2 linked regions of the Canis lupus familiaris genome follow. Each later gene encodes a partner of the first gene's protein in a complex. Links are inferred from orthologs where the notes say so. Each region holds a gene or a part of one and is shown in the gene's direction. Other genes may lie near its edges. The genes, in order: BUD13 and CWC27.

Region 1 (4,326 bases):
CACAGGGTTGTGTCTGGGGGACCCATGGGGACCTCCAGCCAGTGAAGCCCTCTATCAATCTGGTATCCCCACAAGCCCTCAGAGACCCAGTCTGCTTTCCTTCCTGGGCCTCAGCTGGACCAGTCAGGACAACACTGTGGTTAAAAGTTCATCCATCAGGGCTGGGACTTCCACACCTATATTATATATAATTTTTTTTTTGAGCATGTATCCTGGATTCTGAGCAGAGCATTTATAAAGTATAACAAGCAAGCCTTCTTGACTAATAGGCTTTCAAACAGTGACAAAAATTTAACATGTTGAGATAAGGGAAATACTTGATCTAACATTTTCACAAACTTTGGATTTACCTCTTGTACCTCACTTGGCTAGCTTCTGCTCCCAAGGGTCACATTTTGGCTGTATAAAGTTGGACAACTTCCTTAACCTCTCCAAGCTTTGGTTTTTCTCATCTGTGAAACAAGCATAATAAAACCACTTGAGAGATTTGTTAAATGAGGTAATTTATGTAAAATAATGTTCACAAGAAGAAAAGGAGTATGTCCCCTCCCCCCGGCCCCTCCCAACTTGATAATTAGAATTCAGCTTCTCTATCTGGCTGAAAATAGAGCCAGGTCCTTTTCACAGGAAAGATTGCAGGCAACAGATAGTTGGGGGCTACGTATTCTATCAAAAGTGGGGAAGGTCACAGGTTAGAGAAACCTCCATATTTTTTCATGGTAATCACGTTTGGAATTCCTGACCTCTCTTGAATGGTTCGTGGAAGACTATTTAGAGCAGTCTAACCTCCACCTAACATACTAATACAAACAACATACATACTGTGCTTCAGACACTGTGCTAAGCATCTCACGCAGTAAAAGTGTCTCATTTCTCGAAGCCATTTAGTTAGGTGCCATTATACTCCCCAGTTCGTTAATTAAGTTGCCCCCGGACCTACAGTTGGAAGTTTCGGAGCCCGAACTCCAGCTTAGGGACACCGTCCCTCCAGAGCCCGAGGTCTTGACGACGCTATGGTGCTTCTGGAGCTGCTGGGGACAGAGATCTTGTTTGGGTCGTGGTTTTAGCCTCCCGCCAGCTGCATCGTAGGTTGAAGGGGCAGACAGGTGGACAAACCCCTGCCGGTCGGGCCGGCAGGGGCAGGGGCAGGGGGAGGGGGAGGTGGAGGTGCAATCGGAGGCGCGCGCACCTGCGGAGAGCCAGCAAGCGCAGCCGGGGGTCAGCCCGGGGCGGGTCCCACAGCTCTCCACCACTTCCGGCCCCGGCCCCGCCCCCCCGGGGGCCCCCCGCCGTGCGCTTCGCGTTCAGGAAATTTGTCCCCAGCGCCGAGCCGTCTCCCCGCCCCCGCCGCTGCCATGGCGGCAGCTCCGCCGCTCTCCAAGGCCGAGTATCTGAAGCGTTACTTGTCTGGGGCAGGTGCCGGCGTCGACGGGGGCCCGGACTCCGGTCGCAAGCGTCGCAAAAAGCGGCCGAAGCCTGGCGGGGCCGGCGGCAGGGGGTGAGTGGGTGCTGGCGGGGCGGGGCGGGGCCTGCGGCGGCCGGCCGCCCCTCTGCTCCCCGGCTCCGCGCTCGGCCGGCGCGCCCCGCGGCCGTGCGCTCGCCGCCTCCGGCCGCCGGTAACTTTCTCAGGCTGTTCCCGCCCCGGTGGCTTTCCGGCCTCTCCCGTGGAGAGTGAGTGTCGCGCCGAGAGGAACGGCGGGGTCGCCCGGAGCCTGTGATGGCACGGCCGGGGGCTCGGCGGAGTCGGGCGCCGCGCGCACCTGGGGCCGAGTCCTGCGCGGGCGGGCGCCGACCGAGGCTCCAGGATTCCGCGGCGGAGCGGGGCCGCCGTGCCGCTCTCCCGGCGGGTCCGCGCAGGACCCCAGGACGTGACTTCCTTCGGAAGTAGTGCCGCCGCGGGTGTAGCTAATCAAGATGCGGTCACAGCACATCAGGACGGGCGCCAAATCCAGCGTGCCCGGGGACCCCTTAGGAAGGGGGGGATTTGGACGCAGAGATGGGGAAAGCCCGCCGTGTGAAGATGGAGGCCGGCCTTGGGCTGGGTTTACGCTGCCACTAGTAGCCAGAGTATGCGAGTACGCCTGCCGCTGCCAGCAGTTGGAACAGCCAAGGAATCCCCCCGCCCCCAGCCTTCCCAGTGGGCACTGCCTTGCAGACACCTTGATTTCAGACTTCAAGCCCCCAGGACCCTGAGAGAGTACAGTTCTGTTGCCTTAAGCCGCCTGGTTGGCGGCACTTTGTCAGGCAGCCCTGGGGAACCAATACGCCCAGCTCCAGAGACCAAATCCACTTCCTTTTTTTTTTTTTTTTTTTAATTTTTATTTATTTATGATAGTCACACACAGAGAGAGAGAGAGAGAGAGAGGCAGAGACACAGGCAGAGGGAGAAGCAGGCTCCATACACCGGGAGCCCAACGTGGGATTCGATCCCAGGTCTCCAGGATCGCGCCCTGGGCCAAAGGCGGGCGCCAAACCGCTGCGCCACCCAGGGATCCCCCAAATCCACTTCCTTTCGTGGGTTGCTTCTTGCCTGTTCTTGCCCTCTGTCTTCCTGCCTTCCGACTTGTGTCGATTGTTTGGACACAGACAGTGCCATGTAGAGAAAATAGCTTGCTTGACCTCTGGAGTAATACCAGTCAGAGTTTGAGTCCTGGCTGTGCCACGTTGTGGGCTCTACGGCCTTGGGCAACATACTGTCTCTCCAAGACTGTTACCGCAGCTTCCTTTCTTTATTTTTTAAAAGATTGATTATTTATTTATTTATTCACAAGAGACACAGAGAGAGGCAGAAACCCAGGCAGAGGGAGAAGCAGGCTCCATGCAGGGAGCCTGACGTGGGACTTGATCCCTGGACCCTGGAATCAGGCCCTAAGCTGAAGGCAGATGCTCAACCGCTGAGCCACCCAGGCGTCCCTATTTTTTTTTTTTTTTTAAGATTTTATTTATTTATTCATGAGAGACACAGAGAGGTAGAGAAAGAAGCAGAGAGAAGCAGGCTCCATGCAGGGAGCCTGATGTGGGACTCGATCCCAGCACTCCAGAATCATGGCCTGGGCGGAAGGGAGACACTCAACCACTAAGCCACCCAGGTGTCCCGGTTACTGCCTCTTTAAAAGGAGAGTAATACTATCGCTCTATGGTTGTGATTAGAGAGGTATAAAGTGATAACTGGCTGTTCAGATAGAATTGTTCACATCATGGTAGTCATTGTTAATTACTTGGACTCATGCATAGTTTATCTGTGTAACAAACATGTATTGAACACCTACTTCTTATGCCAGTTACTTCAGGGTGTTCAGGATATCACAGTGAATGAGAAGGCATAGTCCCTATTCTAGTGGGCCTTATAGTTTAACAGGGATCCTGGCTTTAAACAGCTAATTACACAACTAACTGATTTATTTTCTTTGTGATTAATGCAATGAAAGTATTCCAAGGATGCATAACAGAGGTTCTTAGTCATGGGAAGTAAGGGGAGAAGCTCAAGGAAGTTAAATGTATCCTAGGACTCTTAAGAGTTTCCCATTAAAGAAAGAAGAGTAGGCCAGGCCGAAGGAAGGAACTGAATATGTGAAAACTGATGTGGTAAGGTATTGGCTCATTCCAGGCACCAAAAGATGATTAGCAAGGTAGGGAACTGTGGAGGCAGTGGTACAGGTGAAGTTGGCCGTATAGGCAAAGACTGGACCTTGCAGAGTCTTGTAGCTTATACTAAATCCATAGATAACTGTTTGTGGGCTGTCACCCAAGAATGATTCTTCCCTTTTTGATCTTTTTATTTTTCATATTTAGAATGCGGATTGTGGATGATGATGTGAGCTGGACATCTATCTCTACCACTAAACCAGAAAAAGAGGAAGAAGATGATGATGGAGATTTGCCTGTGGTGTGTATCTTTTGAGGTTGTGAGGACTTTGAAATGCAAGACTCTCAATCTTGATTCTTAGTACAGGGTGGATTTATAAGGGGGAATGTTAGGGCCCAAAAGAGGTGACACTTTTCAAAGAGCTGTTTTATTTAATTAATTAATTTTTAAAAAAGATTTTATTTATTCATGAGAGACACAGAGAGAGAGGCAGAGAGATAGGCAGAGAGAGAAGCAGGCTCTCTCTGAGGAGCCTGATGGACTCAGGAGCCTGATACAGAACTTGATCTCAGGACCCCAGGATCATGATCTGAGCAGAAGGCATATGTCCAGTTCAACTTGTGAGCCCTCCAAGAGCTGTTCTAAAGTAGTTTACTTTGATAATGCCTATAGACCGCGTGTTTTCTTTGTTCATGGAGGGCCTCATTAGCCTAGAAATGGGAACTAATCACAGAGAGGCA
Region 2 (4,234 bases), on another chromosome or scaffold:
GTGTCTCTCATGGACACATGCAGTCTTTTCAAAAAGAGACAGGAAGAGGCTGCCACAGTGCAAACTCGGCTCAATAATACCGCGAAGGGCAGGTTGAAACAAAGGGAGGGCGGGCTTCTGAACCGCAGCACCTGAGTCGCTCCTACACTAAAGTGCATCGTGAAGTCTCCAAGCTGTGCGGGGTGCGGGTTGGGATATAATTCTGCAACTAACTCCTGCAACCAGGGTTCCTCGGAAGACAGGGAGCAAACCTGGTTTAAGGAGACGCCCTCCCGACGCTCGTCCTTGCAGACGGGAGAGCTCCGGGGCGCTTACTTGGTAGGTAGGGCTCCCTTACGGTGAACCCCCCCGCCCCCCGCCCCCACCCACAGAACCGAGAGCTTGGAAGGGACCCACAGGCGTCAAGGAGCGAGGCTGCTTTTGCAGATGCACGAAAAGCGGCGGGTGCAGGGCCACCCGGGAGCTCGGGGCACCAGGGAGCCCCGGGGGCCGGGCCTGCGGCTGCCGCTGCACCAATGCCTCCGGCTGCTCGGCTCCGTCGAGGGGCGCCGCCGGGATCCGGTCTTCAAGCCACGGCCGAGGTAAGCCAGCTGCCCCGGACCCCTGCACCCCCGCCCGCCGCCCGGCCTACGGTTACAGCCCCCCCCCCCCCCCCCCCCCGCCCTCCATCCAGCGCAGCTGGAGCTCCGCGGCGCTGCAGGGACGCCGTTTCCGCCGCCCCTCCTTCCCTTCGCTGATTGTTTTTGGAGGAGAAACTTTTTCCTGCAGACCAGACGAACCTGTTCAGGCTACGCCCCCCCCCGCCCCGCCCCGCCCCGCCCGGCGCTCCCCCGCGACCCGAGCGCACCCCAACCTCCCCTGGCCCCGCTGCCTTCCTCGCCGCGACCTCGGGGCCCCGGCGCCGGGCTTCACCTGGGACGGCCATAGCGCTGGAAGACGGCAAGGAGGCGGGGGGAGGCGTCGCAGGAGCCCTGGGCTTCCGAGAGGACCCGCCGCCCGCCTGCAGCGAGGCCCGCAAACGGCGAGGGCGGCCTCTTCCTCCCGCCGGCGCCGCGGGACCGCCGTGACAGTCCGGGAAGGCCGCTGGCGACAGCGGAACCCAAGTCCCGTCGAAGCCGTTTCCGCGGGGGGAGGCCTATTGCAGAGCACACACGGTCCGAACCATTGCCGCCCGCTCCCGGGGGGGGAGCGGAGGGGAGGAGTGAATAAGACCCGAGCCCGTTTACTGAGGTTAAACACCAAGGCTTAGAGATTGCTTTTTTTCAAAAGGAGTACCACAGATTCAATTAATGTGTCGGTTCTTAGCGGTCTTTTCTCTCCCCCCCCCGAGGCTATTGGAATCCCCCCTCCTCGGGATTAGCGGTGCTCAGGTCCAGAAGCGACATGGCGGCGCCCGTGAGGGACTAGTTTGGGGGGTAAAGGTAGTGGCTGGTGTGGCCGTCTTGGGGGCACTGACGCCCTGGAGCGCTCCGCGACCCCCCGAGAGAGGGAGCTGCGCTGGTAGGGGCGGCGGGAGGGGTCGGCCCTCCGGCCTCATTCGCAACCCGGAGCGGAGCCCCGCGGACCGGGCGGCATGAGCAACATCTACATCCAGGAGCCTCCCACCAACGGGAAGGTGAGGGCCTCGCCTGGGGCCGCGGGCTCCTCCGGGACCGCTCGGCCGCCGGGCGTCCCGTCCTCCGCGTCCCCGGGCGCGGCCTCCCACACCGTCTGCGCGCTCCGCCCCGCGGGTACGCGCCAGTCCTCGAGGCCACGTTCCCGCACCTCCCGGCCCGCGGCCCCACTTCTTGCTTCAGCCTGGCTCAGGCAGGGGGGTCCTCTAGGGCCCAGGGGGAAACAAAGTACTCTGAAAACCGGCTTGTTTGTTTATATTTATATTTATATTTACTTGTTTATATTTTTATTTGTTTTATTTGTATTTTACTTATATTTTTATTAATTTATACTTTGTTTATATTTTTATATTTTTATATTTGTTTCTATTTATTTATTTCTATATTTATATTTATGTTTATTTATATCTATATGTTTTATTTTTATATTTTTATTTTTATTTTTAACATTTATTTATTTTATTTATTTTTAACATTTATTTTTAATTTTTTATTTTGATTTATTTATTTTTAATTTTTATTGATTTAGGTTTTACTAATTTTTAATTTTTATCGATTTTTAATTTTAATTTTATTTTTTATTTTTGCGTTTTTTATTTTTATTTTTAGTTTTTAATTTTTATTTCCTATACTTATTTTCTATTTTTATAATTTTAAATTTTTTATTAATTTTTTATTTTTATTAATTTTTTATTTTAATTTTTATTCATTCATTTTATTTTCTAATTTTTATTTTTATTTTTACTTATTTTTAATTTTTATTCTATTTTTATTTTTGATTTTTAACTTTTGATTTTTTTATTTATTTTCTATTTTTTTGTTTTTTAATTTTTATTTATTTTCTGTATTTTTCTATTTTTATTTATAATTTTTGGTTTTTTATTTTTTGATTTTTATTTATTTTTAATTTTTATTCGTTTTTTATTTTTTAATTTTAATTTTTTTTACTTATTTTTAATTTTTATTTTTCTATTTTTATTTTTTATTTTTAAATTTTTATTTTTATTTATTTTTATTTTTTATTTTCTATTTTCATTTTTGGCTTTTAGATTTTTACTTATTTTTTATATTTATTTACTATGTTTATTTTTTATATTAGTTTAGCTATCTATTTATTTATTTTTGGTGTACTTGGGAACTACTCTTTCTCTATTCCTTCTACAACCTTTTATTGAACGCCTGGTGGTAGCCTTGGGCCCTGTACTAGGTTCTAGGGCTGCAGTGAAGGATGAAGGTGGTAGTGGTCGCCCTGGAGGAGCTCAGGGTTTTGTTTGAGAGGCAGGCATGTAAAGAAAAAGCTTTGTGATGCATCTGGTAGGCGCTTGTGGTGAGAGGAGGCTAGTGGTATGGGAGCACTAAAGAGGGAGCAACTGCGGGAGGCGGGAAAGTTTCATGGATGAGGGATTTTTTTAGAGCTGGCCTTAAAACACGAGATGACTGTCAGAGAAAGCAGAGAATGGGAAATGTGCCCACATTAGAATGGGAGCGTGATTTCCTGACTTTTTTTTTTTTTTTAAGATTTTATTTATTCATGAGAGACCCAGAGAGAGAGGCAGAGACACAGGCAGAGGGAGAAACCGGCTTCATGCAGGGAGCCAGACGTGGGACTCGATCCTAGGACCCTGGGGTTCCTGACCTGAGCCGAAGGCAGATGCTCAACCGCTGAGCCACCCAGGTGTCCCTGCAATTAAAACTTCACTTAAATATATGTACATATATATGAACATTCAGGATAACAAATATTTTCCTGTTCTCCCTTAGAAGAAAAACAAACTGACTTTTTAAAAAGAATTGATGAGAATCCAGAGAAATACTTCATTTATTTTTTTTTTAAAGATTTTATTTATTTATTCATGAGAGACACACAGAGAGAGGCAGAGACTCAGGCAGAGGGAGAAGCAGGCTCCTTGCAGGCAGCCCAATGCAGGACTCGATCCCGGGACTCCAGGATCACGCCCTGGGCCAAAGGTAGATGCTCAACCGCTGAGCCACCCAGATGTCCCCTGATATCTTGATTGATTTAATGGCCATGGTATGTCAATTCCCATGGAAGATTTTTATATGCAGTGTGAGTCAGAGGAGTCGGTCATGGAATCAGTATCACCTGAATTCTTAAACTGAGGGCTAGTCTGTATCACGTAGGCAACACCATGAAGCAGCATACTGGAGAAAATAGTGGAGCTGAAAGTACGTAGTTGAGGAAGGATAGACTAAATTCACATCAGATACAATTCTGTCGCATGATTGCATCATAGTTCATGCAATTTTCTGTTGGTCGACATTTTGTAATATAGGGAAGGCATTTTGAAAACAAAACCAATAATGTCATTGATAGACCCAGCACAAACTTCACTGGGTATTTTGAGCAATTCTTCTAATTCTTTGTTGTCTAAACTTCGCCTGCCTCCTCACCCCTACCTCGCATCATTGTGAAAACTCAGAACACCTCCTTCATATTTCTAAGTGTTCTTTTTTTTTTTTTTTTTAAGATTTTATTTATTTACTCATGAGAGACATAGAGAGGCAGAGACACAGGCAGAGGGAGAAGCAGGCTCCATGCAGGGAGCCTGAGGTGGGACTCGATCCCAGGTCTCCAGGATCACACCCCGGGCTGAAGGCGA

What was found.
Region 2: BUD13 (region 1) and CWC27 share a complex: the UniProt entries of both Homo sapiens proteins name them as parts of the activated spliceosome. The link is inferred for Canis lupus familiaris from reciprocal best matches to the Homo sapiens genes BUD13 and CWC27.

Annotation. Positions count from the first base shown.
Region 1 is NC_049226.1:16,817,234-16,821,559, forward strand, and holds the start of BUD13 (BUD13 homolog), read left to right. Parts: upstream 1-1,312; 5' UTR 1,313-1,355; coding exon 1,356-1,498; intron 1,499-3,792; coding exon 3,793-3,886; intron 3,887-4,326. UniProt on the Homo sapiens protein: Involved in pre-mRNA splicing as component of the activated spliceosome. As a component of the minor spliceosome, involved in the splicing of U12-type introns in pre-mRNAs.
Region 2 is NC_049223.1:49,881,882-49,886,115, forward strand, and holds the start of CWC27 (spliceosome-associated protein CWC27 homolog), read left to right. Parts: upstream 1-1,347; 5' UTR 1,348-1,456; coding exon of another isoform or gene 1,457-1,537; 5' UTR 1,538-1,573; coding exon 1,574-1,615; intron 1,616-4,234. Other genes in the region: protein SREK1IP1, read right to left, coding at 913-1,135, 1,457-1,537. UniProt on the Homo sapiens protein: As part of the spliceosome, plays a role in pre-mRNA splicing. Probable inactive PPIase with no peptidyl-prolyl cis-trans isomerase activity. As a component of the minor spliceosome, involved in the splicing of U12-type introns in pre-mRNAs.